Saccharomyces cerevisiae S288C: one gene and its partners. The gene in region 3 interacts genetically with the main gene of each other region. Each region holds a gene or a part of one and is shown on either strand. Other genes may lie near its edges.

Region 1 (4,413 bases), on a different chromosome or scaffold from region 3:
TGGGTCGTCTAGCGGCTGGAATTGTTTCTTTAGGAGATCTTGTAGGTTGGGGAAACTTCCCTGGCGAAGGGCGTCGAGAAGTTTCAACTTCAGCAGCGGCTTACTGATGGCCACAGACGATAGATCAGGTTGTTCCATGGTGTGTGGAGGGGTGAAAGGTGTACTTTGATGTTTAAACTTTTCCCTTTTTATTTTTTTTTTTTTTGGCAGTTTAATTTAGTTTGAGTGCTTCTATTTATCCAAGTTTTGAGTTTCCTTTTTCCTTTTTTTTTCTTTTTTTCCTTTCCCTTTTTGGTGCACGTTCGCTCGGCGAGTAAAAGAGGTAATCCAAACGACGGGATGAGATTAAATTACAGTCGCTGCTATTATAGTAGCCAGCGGCGGCGCCAGTCACTTCCAAAGCGTTTTCCTCTTATTTAGTATATTTAATAGTATGTAGTAGTAGTAGTAGTAGTAGTAGTAGTAAAAATAATATTGATGCGCAAAAACTCAGCATAAACTCAACCGGACACGCTCACGTCGAAGTAATCGTAGCCGGACAACAGGTATTTCATGTCTTCTGATTTGGTGTTGGCGCTAGCAGTGGTCCTGGCAGCGGGTTTTGCTGCGCGAGCTTGCTGCCGTTTGAAGATGCGGTCGATCTCCAGCAGCGACTTTTCCATGAGCGACGCAAACCGAGCAGTCTGGCGATGCCTTGAGGACACCACCACAGAGACGGAGTGGTCTCTGATGATGTAGCCGATGCCGAAGCCGTTGGCGGTGACAGGCCCGAACCCGAAGCTCTTGAGGCAGGGGTTACCGCAGTTGGAGGTGCTCAAGACGTTGTTCTGCATGGTAGTCCAGGACTTGTCGCGGAAGATGGGTGGGAGCTCCAACTTGTCCTTGTACCATTGGTTCCAGAGGCAGTAGAGCGCATACAAGTGACGGTCCTGGCCGAGCCCCTGGGAGCATTCCCTTGTGATTTGCGAGTGCGCCGTACAGGCGTCGTGCAAGAGCTGAATTTTGGTGGCGTCCGAGGCATCCTGGTCCAGTAGTGACTTGACAAAGAGCTTCGATTGGCCCGTGACGGAGCGGATGGCCTCTGTGCGGCCGTTTTGGAACGCCTTGGTCATGGCAGGCTCGTACACGGTCTCGAAGCGACCGTACAACGCGAAGTATGCGACCTGGAACACCTGCTGCACGAAGGCGTCTGGCGAGCACTTGAACACTGTCTTGATATGGGACGCGCCGTAGTTGGAGAAGTCAAGATTAACAAACTCGTATTGCGAGATCAAGTCCGAGATGCGCGTCTCGGCAAAGTGCAGCGACGATTGCAGGAAATTGTCAGTGCGCCATTCCAGTTTACGAGGGATGGTGATCAAGTTGGCGGAGTGAGCCGCCGAGGCCAACGACGACGACGATGGTTTTCCATCGTCGTCGCTAAAGATGTCGACGACGTTCTTGGTGACACCGCGTGCGAAGCTCAGGATCGAGTCTGTGTAGATGTCTGTGGCGAGCCGCAGCACAGTGTGGCCGTCCACACCGGTGTGTTCGAAGTTGATGCCCGCCTTACCGTTCTTGGTCACGATCAGTTGTAACTTGTCGTACCAGCGGTTGAGACAGGTGCCTGTCTGCACGTTCAATGGCGGCTGGTGTTGGTGCGGGTCGAGATTGATGGTAGAAGTCCCGCACAGCATCGAACGCGTGAGCTCGTCCTGCTGATCGGCGGCAAACGCCACGTCGTCGAGACAGACCACGAACAGCGCGGAGTCGATCAGCTTGAGATTGCGCCAGTTGGTGCAGTCGTCCGCATGGAACAGATAGTCCCTGATGTTGGACCACACCCGGCGCGACTCTGTGGTGAACACGCCAAAGGGCGCGGATCCGCTTCCGGCGGATTCCGCGTCCATGATGATCGAGTAGAGGTTCCACTCCAGTTGTTCTGGGGTGGCGAAGATGGGCTCGTTGCGTGTGTCCAGCACGTCGAACCAGTAGAACTGGCCACGATACATCGCCACCACGTGATGCGACGTGGCGTCTGTTTGCAAGTGGCAAGAGGGCTCGCCGGGACCCGGAGGGATTCTACTGGAGCCGAATAGCCGCTCATACTGGTCCATCGACAGCGGCGTTTTGCCGCGCACAGTGTCTGTGCGGAGTGTGCCGTGGCGAATCTGGCGGATGAACTTGAGAATAGAGGTGGTGAGTCGTGCGGCACGACGAACCTGCACCGTGTGTGCGCCATAGGGGCCCTGTGCCGCCGTCTCTGGTGTGTCTTTGATGGTTGGGTCGTCCTGCAGTTGGAAGTACGGGTTGACGTTGAGAACGACAGTTGCATCATATAGCAAGTACGCGTCATACCAGAACTGCTCGATGTATGAGGACTCTGGGTTGCTTTCCGCGAGCCGTGCGTCGTATTCTAGCAGCCGCTCGTGCAGCGTGTTCAATGCGTCCAGGTTTTCTGCGGAGAGCACAGTGCGGCGCGTACGGCGGTTTTGGCGCTCGTCCTGCAGGGGTTCCACGCGTGCCAGGTAGCGGTTGAGCGTGTCCTGCAGTGGCGGGATGGGTAGTCTCTTTAAGTTTGGCATTGTATACGGAAAGGAGGGGTGGGCGGGTGTGGTTATTGTCGTGTGGTTATTGTCGTGGGTGTGCTTCTATGTTATGTGTGTCTTGTATATATATGCGCGTTCCAGTTGACGCTGATACAGCCCGCCGGGCGGACGGAAAGTCCGCGGGGATGACCGCGGACCGCCGGGCCGATGACTCTAGTGCTGATGCTGATGCTGATGTTGTGCTATATGCTTTTTTTTAGCCGCTGATGACATATAGAGTCCAGATGGGGAGTCCTTTCAATCATGCTTTTCCTTGCCCCTTTACTTTGGACTATGCACTCATGATTGCCATTGTGACTGGAGAGATCGTGACACTGCTGATGGTTTTGTCATTCCGCACGTCCTACGTTTAGAAAGTAACGATGCCAATCTTCATCACGGTAAAAGTAATACGGGGTGGGGTGTTACTGATGAGAATTGGGGGAATTTTGAGATAATTGTTGGGATTCCATTTTTAATAAGGCAATAATATTAGGTACGTAGATATACTAGAAGTTCTTCTCGAGGATTTAGGAATCCATAAAAGGGAATCTGCAATTCTACACAATTCTATAAATATTATTATCATCGTTTTATATGTTGATATTCATTGATCCTATTACATTATCAATCCTTGTATTTCAGCTTCCGTTGAAAACGATGACTATTTCTCATCATTTGCGTCATCTTCTAACACCGTATATGATAATATACTAGTAACGTAAACACTAGTTAGTAGATGATAGTTGATTTTTATTCCAACAGTTACGTAAACCGTTATCAAATAAATACGCTCAGATTCAATTCTGATTAATTTTCATTGGGGCTGATGCTTTCGCTGCAAGTTGTCATAGTATTATTTATTTATTAATACCTTAGATTTTCTTGACAATTAACCAATTTTTAATCATTAAACTTAATAATATTTAATGCTACTGTACTTTTTATTATTATTTATTATTAATTTATTTATTCGTTCATCTTGTATGTAATCGTCCTCCGTTCTTTTCCCTTTACCGCTGGCTTGCGCGCGATGATTTCCACTAAAAGCTTGCTTGGAAATCTCGATCACCGACATACGCCCTGAGAATGCTTATAGGAGCTATTGAGGCGAAAGAAGTGGAGGGAAAGTAATATCCCGAGAACGAAAACGCAAGGTTTATTGTCATGAAAATGCAAATGCACCGTTGACAAAACCAACCACACGATTATCACGACTACTACCATAATAGGTAGGCAATGAACCACTTTGTTCAGCAAATGGGTCCAACACGAATCGACTTTTCGAGGCTTCCTTCGGCCGTTTTCCGGCCAGTTAGTGCTGATTATATATCATACTCTAGTTTATGTTCGCTTTACGTATGGTAGTGTCTCTAAGCTATTCCGTCTTTTTAAGAAGCGCATCGATATTGGGATGCCGCCTTCGCCAGTAATTTTCCTGAGCTTGTCGTTCGATCTCCGCTGCCTTGAGCAAAAAGTTTTGATAATTCAGTCTGGAACTAGGAGAAGCTGACTCGATGGCATCTTCAGGCTTAGCGGTGACCGGAGAATTGCCAATTGACGTGGCTGTTTGCTTCTTGGGGGTTACTCCCTCAACAAGGCGTAGAAAATAACGGTAGCAATCCTCATCGCTGTAAAAGTAATACGGAGTATGCCATTGCCCATGATTAAACAAATATTGGTTCATGTTGTATGTGATGATCCTCCATTCTTTCCCTTCTACCGCCGGTTTACGTGTGATGACATCCACTAAAAGCTCGGTCCTAAAATTTCGACGACTGACTAGCTTTGGATTACCATCACTTAATATTATTAACAAACCTACAAGAGAAGTAAAAGCAAATAT
Region 2 (3,688 bases), on a different chromosome or scaffold from region 3:
GGTAGGCATGGAAGAAACTTCAGCTTTTTGAGCAACATCTGAGACTTCATCAACATCCAACTTGTAAAAAGCAGCGTCAGAATATTGTTCTGCAAACTTTTCAATCATTGGTGCAATCATTTTACATGGCCCACACCATGTGGCAAAAAAGTCAACAACGACTAACTTGTCGCCAGATGCTAAAGCACTGTCGTATTCAGAAGCGGATTTTAATTGAGTGACCATTATTGATGTGTTATTTAAAGATATCGTAGACTCTCGTGTATGTGTGCGTGTATAATTCTTGCTAGACAACAAATAAAAACTGGTCCTCGTTATTCTCTTGTCAGCTTTTCATCCCCCGAATGGCTTTCTTATATACTGATATCCCTCTTTCGGCTGGCTGGAAACTGAACGCGCTTAGTAAGAAAAGAGCCACCTTGTAGGGAGCATCCTTTACTAAGAGTATAAACAATTACACATATACTTTGATGATTACTTAATATTCACTGGCACTCAAGTTATGCTGATCTTGGAGCGATCTTGAAGCCGAGTATGTCATTCTTACCGGGCTCAACAAGACTTTCTTCACTGACTCTCACGCCGCCAACGGTTTCAATGCTTGCAATGGTGACCTCGCCACCCATGATATACCTGGCAACTTTGCCAACAGGGGTTCCTCGCTTGACCAAAAAACAATCTCTAAATACGTTGGTTCCGTTGCCACCCGTAAAAGTCTGGATGTTCTTCACAGTGTACACCGGTATTAGACCAAGGATGTCCGTTGCTGCTTGCAGAACCTGAACAACACCCGTAGATCCGAATCTATACAGGACCAAATCTCTGATATTTTCAATTCTGTTAAGGATCTTGTCGTCCAGTGGCTTTAGTTTGTCTGGCTCGTCCTCAAATGTGTCAACAAATTCCGTGCCCTCCTCGTATAATATAAAACCTTGCTTTTTCAATTTCCTCAAAAAAACTTCCGTCACTGCACTGGTCAGTACAGCTTTGGTGTCAGGATACTTTAGCATGATTTTAGAAACATTTTTATCGGCGTCAGGGTGGTCAATCTTGTTGAGTGCCAACACAGTTGGAAATTTCTCCATCATAAAGGACTTGACCACTCGAGTGATCCATTCGTCATCCCATTTTTCCAAAGGTGGTAGTCCCTTCAACCTGTCCAGGGCTTTTTGGATCATGGGCGCATGTGAACCGTACCCACCGAATTGCGCTTGAAGTGTGTCCACTATGCTAGATTTCGTTGCTGTATGTTTACGCACAATAGACCCCCATCTTTTCTTCAGGTTCCCCTCAACCCAAAGCCTGATTTCGTCTTGCAGCCATTCTATATCGTTCAATGGATCATATCCTCTTGTGTTCTTCCCCTCTGCATCTGTGGTTCCACTAACGTCCACCACATGAATAAGAGCATCTGCGTGTCTTAAATCATCCAAGAATTTATTTCCAAGCCCTCTGCCGGAATGCGCTCCAGGCACAAGCCCTGCCACATCCAACAGTTTGATGGGGATATGCCTCTTACCCTTGCTACACCACCCGTAGTTAGGTTTACAAAGATCTTCCTTGCCAAATCTGGAGCAAGCACACTCAACTTGCAAGTAGCCGGTTGCCTGATTTGGCTCGATCGTGGTAAAGGGAAATGCTCCTACCGCCGCACCTGCGTCCGTCAAAGAATTTAATGTGGTGGATTTCCCTGAAGATGGCTTACCCACAATACCAATCAATGGATCCCTGGGCATACTGGCTCTATTTCCGTTTTATTCTTACAGACAGCTTATACTACAAGTTAGTTGGACAAAAGCTAAAAGACGGAAAACGAAAACGCAAAATGAAAATAAAACCAACTCTCATTACAATTCATCCTAGAACACTTACACATCTGTTTTGCACTGCATAGCATTACATTTCTTGCATATCTATCTATTCGAGAAAAAAAAAAAAAGGCATCGAGTGAATTTTTCACCTTGATAAAAAAGCCCTTACTAACCCTACAATAAATTGTGCCGAAACCCTCTGGAGTTTTCTAGAATATTCTAGCCCCATCAGGGCTAGAATATCCTAAAAGTTTATAGTTGACGAAAATTTTTCAGCGATGAGATGCACATTTATAATGCTATGATGTTCAACGCAAAGGAAATCATAGCGTTATCGGGTAGGTTCGCATCGTTAGCAATAGCTAGTCGCATATATACACAGAGATACATATTATACCTATACCGTTAAGAAATAGGATAGAAAATAATGAGCGAACAAAAGGAAGATTTGTTTAAACCAGTAGGAGAAGCTGCTGCAGAGGTCGAAGATGAAAGCATAGCCGAACAGAACAAAGCTAATGACGGCGTCAAGTTAACCGGCGCACAGGACGCCATGGGCCATCCAGTGCAAGAGATAGAGTCTCTTTGTATGAATTGTGGAAAGAACGGTACAACCAGACTTCTTCTGACTTCCATCCCTTATTTCAGAGAAATAATTATTATGTCATTCGACTGTCCTCACTGTGGGTTTAAGAACTGTGAGATCCAACCCGCTTCTCAAATTCAAGAGAAGGGCTCTCGTTACGTTTTGAAAGTGGAGTGCCGTGAAGATTTTAACAGGCAAGTTATTAAGTCAGAAACTGCCACTTGTAAGTTTGTCGAGCTAGACATTGAGATTCCTGCTAAGAGAGGTCAATTGACGACAGTTGAAGGTTTGTTATCCGAGATGATCGACGATCTGTCGCAAGACCAGGAAATGAGAAAATCTATAGACGAAGCTCTTTACAAGAAGATCGATGACTTCATACAGAAAGTTAAATCCTACATCAATTGTGAACCCAACACTATTCCGATTACATTTATTTTGGATGATCCTGCGGGAAATTCCTGGATCGAATACAAACCCGGTGAACCTCAACACAAATGGTCTCATACCCAGTACGTGAGAACCGACGAACAAAACGTTCAAGTTGGCATTATTACTAGAGACCAGTTGGAGCAACGTCGCCAAGAACAATTAAAACAATTGGCCAACCGTGAAAGAAATCCTTCTGAATCTGTCAAAGTTGGCTCAGCAAACCCACAGTTTTTGTCAGACGCCACCGACATCGAAAACTTTAACAACGAGGTGCAAACATTCAGAGCTTCTTGTCCATCGTGTACCCAAGAGTGTGAAACTCATATGAAGCCAGTAAATATCCCACACTTTAAAGAAGTCATTATCATGTCGACGGTCTGCGATCATTGTGGTTATAAGTCTAATGAGGTGAAGACCGGTGGTGCCATCCCTGACAAAGGAAGAAGGATTACTTTATACTGTGACGATGCAGCTGACTTGTCCCGTGATATTTTGAAATCTGAGACCTGTAGTATGGTAATTCCTGAATTACATCTTGATATTCAAGAAGGTACATTGGGTGGTAGATTCACCACTTTGGAAGGTTTACTAAGACAAGTCTACGAAGAACTAGAATCCCGTATTTTCACTCAAACTTCGGATTCCATGGACGAAGCAACGAAAGCCCGCTGGGTAGAATTTTTTGCCAAGCTAAAGGAGGCCATCGCTGGGAAAGTCAAGTTCACAGTCATTATGGAAGATCCATTGGCCGGGTCGTACATACAAAATGTCTACGCCCCAGATCCGGATCCAAACATGACTATCGAAGATTATGAAAGAACTAAAGAGCAAAATGAAGACCTGGGATTGTCCGATATCA
Region 3 (7,720 bases):
GGAAAAATTCAACTCCAATGACTATAACCTAAGTTGTATTTTAACTCTACCCATATACCAGAGGAAAGGATATGGTCAGTTTTTGATGGAATTTTCATATTTATTATCCAGAAAGGAGTCAAAATTTGGAACTCCTGAAAAACCATTGTCGGATTTAGGATTATTGACTTACAGAACGTTTTGGAAGATAAAATGTGCTGAAGTGCTATTAAAATTAAGAGACAGTGCTAGACGTCGATCAAATAATAAAAATGAAGATACTTTTCAGCAGGTTAGCCTAAACGATATCGCTAAACTAACAGGAATGATACCAACAGACGTTGTGTTTGGATTGGAACAACTTCAAGTTTTGTATCGCCATAAAACACGCTCATTATCCAGTTTGGATGATTTCAACTATATTATTAAAATCGATTCTTGGAACAGGATTGAAAATATTTACAAAACTTGGAGCTCAAAAAACTATCCTCGCGTCAAATATGACAAACTATTGTGGGAACCTATTATATTAGGGCCGTCATTTGGTATAAATGGGATGATGAACTTAGAACCCACCGCATTAGCGGACGAAGCTCTTACAAATGAAACTATGGCTCCGGTAATTTCGAATAACACACATATAGAAAACTATAACAACAGTAGAGCACATAATAAACGCAGAAGAAGAAGAAGAAGAAGTAGTGAGCACAAAACATCCAAGCTTCATGTAAACAATATCATAGAACCGGAAGTACCTGCTACTGATTTTTTTGAAGACACTGTTTCCTCCTTAACAGAGTATATGTGTGATTATAAGAACACAAATAATGATAGATTAATCTATCAAGCGGAAAAAAGAGTGCTGGAAAGCATCCATGATCGCAAAGGGATACCAAGATCAAAATTTAGTACAGAAACTCATTGGGAGCTCTGCTTCACTATTAAAAACTCCGAAACACCACTTGGAAATCATGCAGCTAGGAGAAACGATACTGGAATATCAAGTTTAGAGCAGGATGAAGTAGAAAACGATGTAGATACTGAATTATATGTAGGTGAAAACGCCAAAGAAGATGAAGACGAAGACGAAGACTTTACCCTTGATGATGACATTGAGGATGAGCAAATATCAGAAGAAAATGATGAGGAGGAAGACACATATGAAGAAGACAGTGATGATGATGAGGATGGGAAGAGAAAAGGACAAGAGCAGGATGAAAACGATATAGAAAGCCACATAAGGAAGGAGAGAGTCAGAAAAAGAAGAAAAATAACTCTAATAGAGGATGACGAAGAATAAGCGGCGATGGGTATATATTGGATATAAGCATATACATGTAACATTATTAATAGCAATAAGAACCCTTGTAGTCAATAGTATTACAGAATTCTCCTACGAATAAATTTTATGTGTATATATAAAGATATATATGTGTGTGTGTACATGTGTGGGTGCGATTAATTTGTACTCATTAAACGAATAGTCAAAACAAACTAAATTCGTCTCTTAGCTTAAAATATATTTTTAAAGATAGAATTTATACCTGGAAGTTCATCTTGCTCATTGCGTATGTCATTTGCGCTGGTCATAGAAGAAAGCTCACTAGACTTTGGATTATCATGTTTAGCCTCTAACATACCGTAATTTTGCGATTGCTGCGATGGCGTGTTAATGCCATTCTCCTTGTGCAGTGGGTCAATGTCATCCTCCTCCTCCTCGTCTTTGCATCCTTCATTTGTATGAAAACCACTTACACGTCCTTTTCTCTTTAAATAATCCATTCTTTGTTGGATTTCCAACTCGGATCTATTATTAGGCAGAACAATAGAAATTTCTAGCGGCGACAAATGGTTTTGTTTGTCCTTCGTATTGTTAAGTAGCACTTCATCATCTTCTCTAGACCACGGGTGTTTATTAGCGAATTTTTGCATATCTAAGAAAGTCCTCGTGTGCGTGATTTTGTCATTTGCGTGGTCTGTCTTGCAGTTGGGAGACGCTATGGGGTTAAGATAGTATTGGTGCTGTGGATGATAATGAACGGATTGCGATGTAGATAACCTTCTGGGTGACATATACGGGCTAACTACCAAGGAAGCTCTTCTAGAAATAGGCTCCGTAGGAGCGTGAGAGTTGAAGGATGATCTTCTTGAATGCATCATGTTAAAAGATGATCTTCTAGAAGAAATTACGGAATGCGAGTTTTTCCTAGTCTTCGTCGTTGAATGAGGGATTTGAGTTGAAGGAATAAAGGAGTTCCTTCTAGACCTGATAATAATTTTAGGCACAAGACCAATATTCTCATAATCATTGGAATTAACAGCTTTATTTGTCTTTGCTGAAGTAGTGTTATAAAGGCTTAGATTTGTCTGCTGAGCAGTCTTTACATTAGGCGTGTTGGTTGTTATAGAATGAGAGAAGGACCTTGGCTTAACAAACAGTTTCCTTGGTTTCGTGTGTTGTGGCTCATGGTCCGAAAATGTTGATGTAGATCTTTGAGTTATCAGTTTTCTGTCCATGTATTTAGGCTTAACTAATGGCTTGAAATCCGGTGGAGAATCCTCGATAGCACTAGAACCTGCAGTAATATCTTCATCCTCAACAGCTTCCTCTTTTACGGCTTCTTCCGCAGACGGAGTACCCGCGGATGGGGTAGCATCACCAGTCGCATACACGCCGAATAGCTTATTGATGTCAATAACTGCGGTCTTGTTAGACTTTAAGTTGCCTGATTTCAGTCTCCTCCATCTGAATTGACAAGCGTTAGGAGTTCTATTTGGGAAATGATGTGCAATCTCCTTCCAGCCCAAGTTCTTGATCTCTTTCAGGTGGCGGAGCTTGATATCATCACTAGGGTCCCAAGAAGAGGGGTTGTTTTTTTTGAGTGATTCCGCCTCCTCCTTGTTCGTGCTGTTCTCTTTAGTGCTAGTGCTACTGATAGGCAGGTGGCTCTTCGCATTTGTGTGAGAAAGTGAGTGGGAATGGACAAGATTATTTGGGTGAGGGTGTTTGCTTAGTATTGAGAAACCATGTGAGTTGGCACTAACATGTCCTGATGAAACAGAAACGCTACTGAGTTTCGGCAACGTCATCGCGAGGGAACTTCAATAAGAACAGTGATATATTCTTTTCTCTACCCACTGTCGTGTATATGCCTTCTTGAGTGAGTAGTTTTAATGACTCAAGCAGTGGAGATTTGCCAGATTTGTTTACCTGAAAACAAAATGATATGAAAAGCCTTTATTAATATCAACGTACAAAAACTATACACGACTTCTGTGTAAGGAAGTAGAAAAGTGTCTCATCGCATTGGTCTCGCATCTCATCGCATCGCATCTCATCTCAATTTTCAAATTTCAGCTCTCAGCAGAGAAAAAATTTTTTTTTCACCGGACCAAAAATAGCCTCTCTCACCCACAGATAACGTCGCACACTAACAAGATGATGAGACAAGATAGGCCAAACCGCTCAAAAAGGAACTCGAAGAAGAACGGAAGTGGAGTTTAACTTTAGAACCTAACTGCTACTAAGTGTTGATACGCTAGGCAAGACACCTGCGAAATCCCGCTGCGAAATACCTGCAAAGAGGTTGCTAAACAGCAGCCAGAAGACTTGCGCTAGTAACGTTCCTGAAAAGCTTTGCACTGCAGGCATTTCTGAGCCTTTTCCGGCCTTCTAGAAGGCTTAGCCCCTACTAACGCCGGGTTACTTAGAACAGCACTCTTCTAAGAACAATCTTTCCAGCATGCTGGAAGGGCCCAGTGGTGATGTCCTGGTAGCAATGGACAACTAAAGGTGGACACTTTCGCTGCCAAGGCATTTTTTTGAGGCGCCAGTACTGTTATAGTTATATGTGGGGCATCTTATTGAAATCCTCGAACAAAAGTTGTTCTAGGCTCTGGAAACCAATTTTGACACAATATTATAGCATGACATCAACTGCCACGGATTCTCCGCTGAAATACTATGATATTGGATTGAATCTGACAGATCCTATGTTTCACGGTATTTACAATGGTAAGCAGTACCATCCAGCAGATTATGTAAAATTATTAGAGCGTGCTGCTCAGAGGCACGTGAAAAATGCCCTTGTTACAGGATCATCCATAGCGGAGTCTCAAAGTGCCATTGAGTTGGTAAGCAGCGTCAAAGATCTTAGCCCGTTAAAGCTGTATCACACAATAGGTGTTCACCCATGTTGCGTTAACGAGTTTGCGGATGCTAGTCAAGGGGACAAGGCTAGCGCTTCTATTGATAACCCTTCCATGGATGAAGCATATAATGAGTCTCTATATGCTAAAGTTATTAGTAATCCATCTTTTGCACAGGGTAAACTGAAAGAGCTTTATGATTTGATGAATCAGCAAGCAAAACCTCATGATACAAGTTTCAGGTCAATTGGTGAGATCGGGTTGGACTACGACAGATTTCACTATAGTTCTAAAGAGATGCAAAAGGTTTTTTTTGAAGAGCAACTGAAAATAAGTTGTTTGAACGATAAACTCAGCAGCTATCCATTGTTTCTGCATATGAGAAGCGCATGTGACGATTTTGTTCAAATATTGGAAAGATTTATTGCCGGGTTCACTGATGAGAGGGATACCTTTCAGCTACAAAAGTTAGGTGCATCGTCGTCTAGCGGGTTTTACAAATTTCATCCAGATAGAAAACTAGTGGTCCATTCATTCACTGGTTCTGCGATAGATTTGCAGAAATTACTGAACTTATCACCCAACATCTTCATAGGAGTAAACGGTTGCTCGTTGAGAACCGAGGAAAATCTAGCTGTTGTAAAGCAAATACCAACAGAAAGGTTGTTATTAGAGACAGATGCTCCGTGGTGTGAGATTAAAAGAACGCATGCATCTTTCCAGTACTTAGCCAAATACCAGGAGGTTAGGGATTTCGAATACCCTGCATTCAAGTCCGTTAAGAAAAATAAGCTCGCTGACAAGTTGAATGCAGAAGAACTTTACATGGTCAAGGGCCGTAATGAGCCTTGTAATATGGAACAAGTAGCAATTGTCGTATCGGAAGTCAAGGACGTGGATCTGGCTACTTTGATAGATACCACGTGGAAGACGACCTGTAAGATATTTGGAGAGTAACATCTATTGGTGCAAAGAGCAAAGTTACATTATTTTTAGTAAGTACACTAATTATGCTTAAACTATTAATAGGAAAATTATGGTGCGCATATACATACAGTCGATATTGCTTTCATTTTTTTTTTTTTTTTTTTTCTATTTTTTTCATCAAAAAGGATTCAAAGGTTACCAACAAAATAAAAACAGAGTAAGGAAAAACAGATGTATCTATATGAATAGGATTTATAAATTCTGTTACAATTTATCATTCTCTCGTAATGATTTTTATGAATTTCACCATCTCCTCAATATGGGCCGCAAAGATGATCCAGTAAAAAACAATCCATCGGCAGAAGAGGAATAACAAATAAAGATAACAAAGTTTGACTACTCTTTCGTTGCAAAGTACGGTTCGACAATATTTATTATTCAATTTCTTCAATCTTGGAACCCTTCTTCGCATTTTCATTCTTGCCGTTTTCTTCGCCGTCGTTATCATCGTTATCATCAGCATCATTAGGTTCTGTTTCTCCTGCAGCCGCATTGCTTAAAGATGCCAACATATCTGATAAAGAAGCACCATGGAAATAAGAAGTGTTGCCGTCACTGTCGGAGCTGGGCCTCTGCCTTATTTGAATCCCGGCTTCTAATAGAGCCTCCAACGAAAACAAGTCAATAGGGCCAGTTCTATCCTCACCTGATAACTTTGAGGGAGTAGCACTGCTGCCTAATTCGGTATCAAGATCATCAATTTCCATGTCGTCATTATCTTTACTACGATTCAAGCGGTCTTGTAATTTTTTGGTGGTTATTGCGAACACTTCGTTATCATCATCCGAAAAATCATGGAAATCAAAAATACTTTTCCTTCTTTGGACAAAAGACGTTTGGATATTGTAATTTTTTGATCTCATACGCTCAAACCATTGTGACTCAGATTCATTTTCCTTTAGTAAAGCAACAATGGAAATACTCATATTATCACAGCCAATTCCTGAGCCTTCAGTTGTGGGTGAACAACAAACATCTACGATTCTAGATGAAATGTCGCTCAACGTCATATTACCTTGACTTATACCGTAGTGAACCAAGTCAACACACTCTTGAGAAGTTAAACAATCCCAAATACCATCACATGCTAAAATAACAAATTCATCCTCATCATAATTCAAATTGTGACAAATGATATCAGGAACACATGTAACGACTTGCTCATGAGGTCCCAATTTTGTGTTAGATTTGAATTCAAAATCACCTATGGCTCTTGATAACGCTAAATTTCCATTAACACGGTCCATCTCAACAAAACCATCAGCAGCTACAATACGAGATTTTTCACTTAACAATGTGGGCTTATGATCAAATGACATTGCTTTACTATTACCACCAGTAGATAGAACTGTTCTACTATCACCGGAATTGGCGCAAATTAGTAGCTTTTTCAATTGAGATACCAATATCACAGTTGCTGTACAACCACTATGGTCATCTTTTAATTTTTCATCTTTCAACAACTCAACATCTGTAGCTAAAAAGGTATCTATTAAGCACTGCTCTAACATACCGCTCTTGAAGCTCTCCTGTTTTTTCAGTATAGATATCATTTTAGAGCCACAAAACTCCGCTACAGAAGAACCACCATGACCGTCAAATATACCATAAAATGCGAGATGTTCCTCGTCAGACTCAGCCAAAAGGTTCGGCTCAACAATATGGGCATCTTCCATGGACATACGCCAGCCTTGCATGGCACATAGTCCAAACGCTGTCAAACAGTCCGTACCAGAATGATGCTCTTTGTCGATAATTGGATTGGACAATATTTGACCCATGTTATCTCTCTCTTTCTTCGATTTGTCTTCTTGGCCTTCTTCGTCTGCCTATAATAGAAACTTCAAAAAGTAAAATGAATATAGTCTAAAAACAGAAAGGGGCCTTCCGGTGGCAACAATCGAGCCAACAAGCTCTAAACACCTTTTACTCCTTTGAGTTTATTCTCTTGAGGGACAACCCATGTTGTTTTTTCTTCAACTCGCTGATATCACGCCTGACGAAAATAATGTTTAAAGGTTATTACTACTCTTCTAGAAGCTCTTAAGCATAAGAGCTAATTGTTTCTTGCTATATTACTTGTTGACAGCGGAGTAACATGATAACGTCTTTTTAATGGAAAAGATGACAGTTTCTTCGAATTACACCATAGCTTTATGGGCTACTTTCACCGCAATCTCCTTTGCCGTGGGTTACCAGTTGGGTACGTCGAACGCATCATCAACTAAGAAATCCTCAGCTACTTTACTGCGTTCTAAAGAAATGAAGGAAGGAAAGCTACACAATGACACTGATGAGGAGGAAAGTGAAAGCGAAGATGAGAGCGATGAGGACGAAGATATTGAGTCCACTTCATTGAATGATATACCTGGAGAAGTTAGGATGGCATTGGTGATTCGTCAAGATCTTGGCATGACAAAGGGCAAAATAGCGGCACAATGCTGTCACGCAGCATTGTCATGTTTTAGACATATTGCTACAAACCCCGCGCGTGCTTCATACAACCCAATTATGACACAAAGATGGCTAAATGCTGGACAGGCTAAAATAACGTTGAAATGTCCAGATAAGTTTACAATGGACGAGTTGTATGCGAAGGCTATAT

The links. Genes that interact genetically often act in the same process or in processes that back each other up.
Region 1: mutations in YBL055C (region 3) and YAT1 together harm fitness more than expected from each alone (negative genetic interaction), as found in Saccharomyces cerevisiae (one large-scale study listed by BioGRID).
Region 2: mutations in YBL055C (region 3) and YGR210C together harm fitness more than expected from each alone (negative genetic interaction), as found in Saccharomyces cerevisiae (one large-scale study listed by BioGRID).

Annotation. Positions count from the first base shown.
Region 1 is NC_001133.9:188,344-192,756, reverse strand, and holds YAT1 (carnitine O-acetyltransferase YAT1), read right to left. Parts: upstream 2,565-4,413; coding exon 501-2,564; downstream 1-500. Other genes in the region: oxysterol-binding protein related protein SWH1, read right to left, coding at 1-138; YAR035C-A (uncharacterized protein), read left to right, coding at 340-420; DUP240 family protein MST28, read right to left, coding at 3,946-4,413. UniProt on the Saccharomyces cerevisiae protein: Involved in the transfer of acetyl-CoA into mitochondria. May also be involved in the metabolism of acetate and of ethanol.
Region 2 is NC_001139.9:913,003-916,690, forward strand, and holds YGR210C (uncharacterized protein), read right to left. Parts: upstream 1,737-3,688; coding exon 501-1,736; downstream 1-500. Other genes in the region: thioredoxin TRX2, read right to left, coding at 1-225; zinc finger-containing protein ZPR1, read left to right, coding at 2,239-3,688.
Region 3 is NC_001134.8:112,938-120,657, reverse strand, and holds YBL055C (3'-5'-exodeoxyribonuclease), read left to right. Parts: upstream 1-3,828; coding exon 3,829-5,085; downstream 5,086-7,720. Other genes in the region: SAS3 (histone acetyltransferase), read left to right, coding at 1-1,279; TOD6 (Tod6p), read right to left, coding at 1,492-3,069; type 2C protein phosphatase PTC3, read right to left, coding at 5,490-6,896; PTH2 (aminoacyl-tRNA hydrolase), read left to right, coding at 7,231-7,720. UniProt on the Saccharomyces cerevisiae protein: Has both endo- and exonuclease activities. Incises double-stranded DNA without obvious specificity via its endonuclease activity and excises the DNA from the 3'-to 5'-end by its exonuclease activity. May have a role in apoptosis.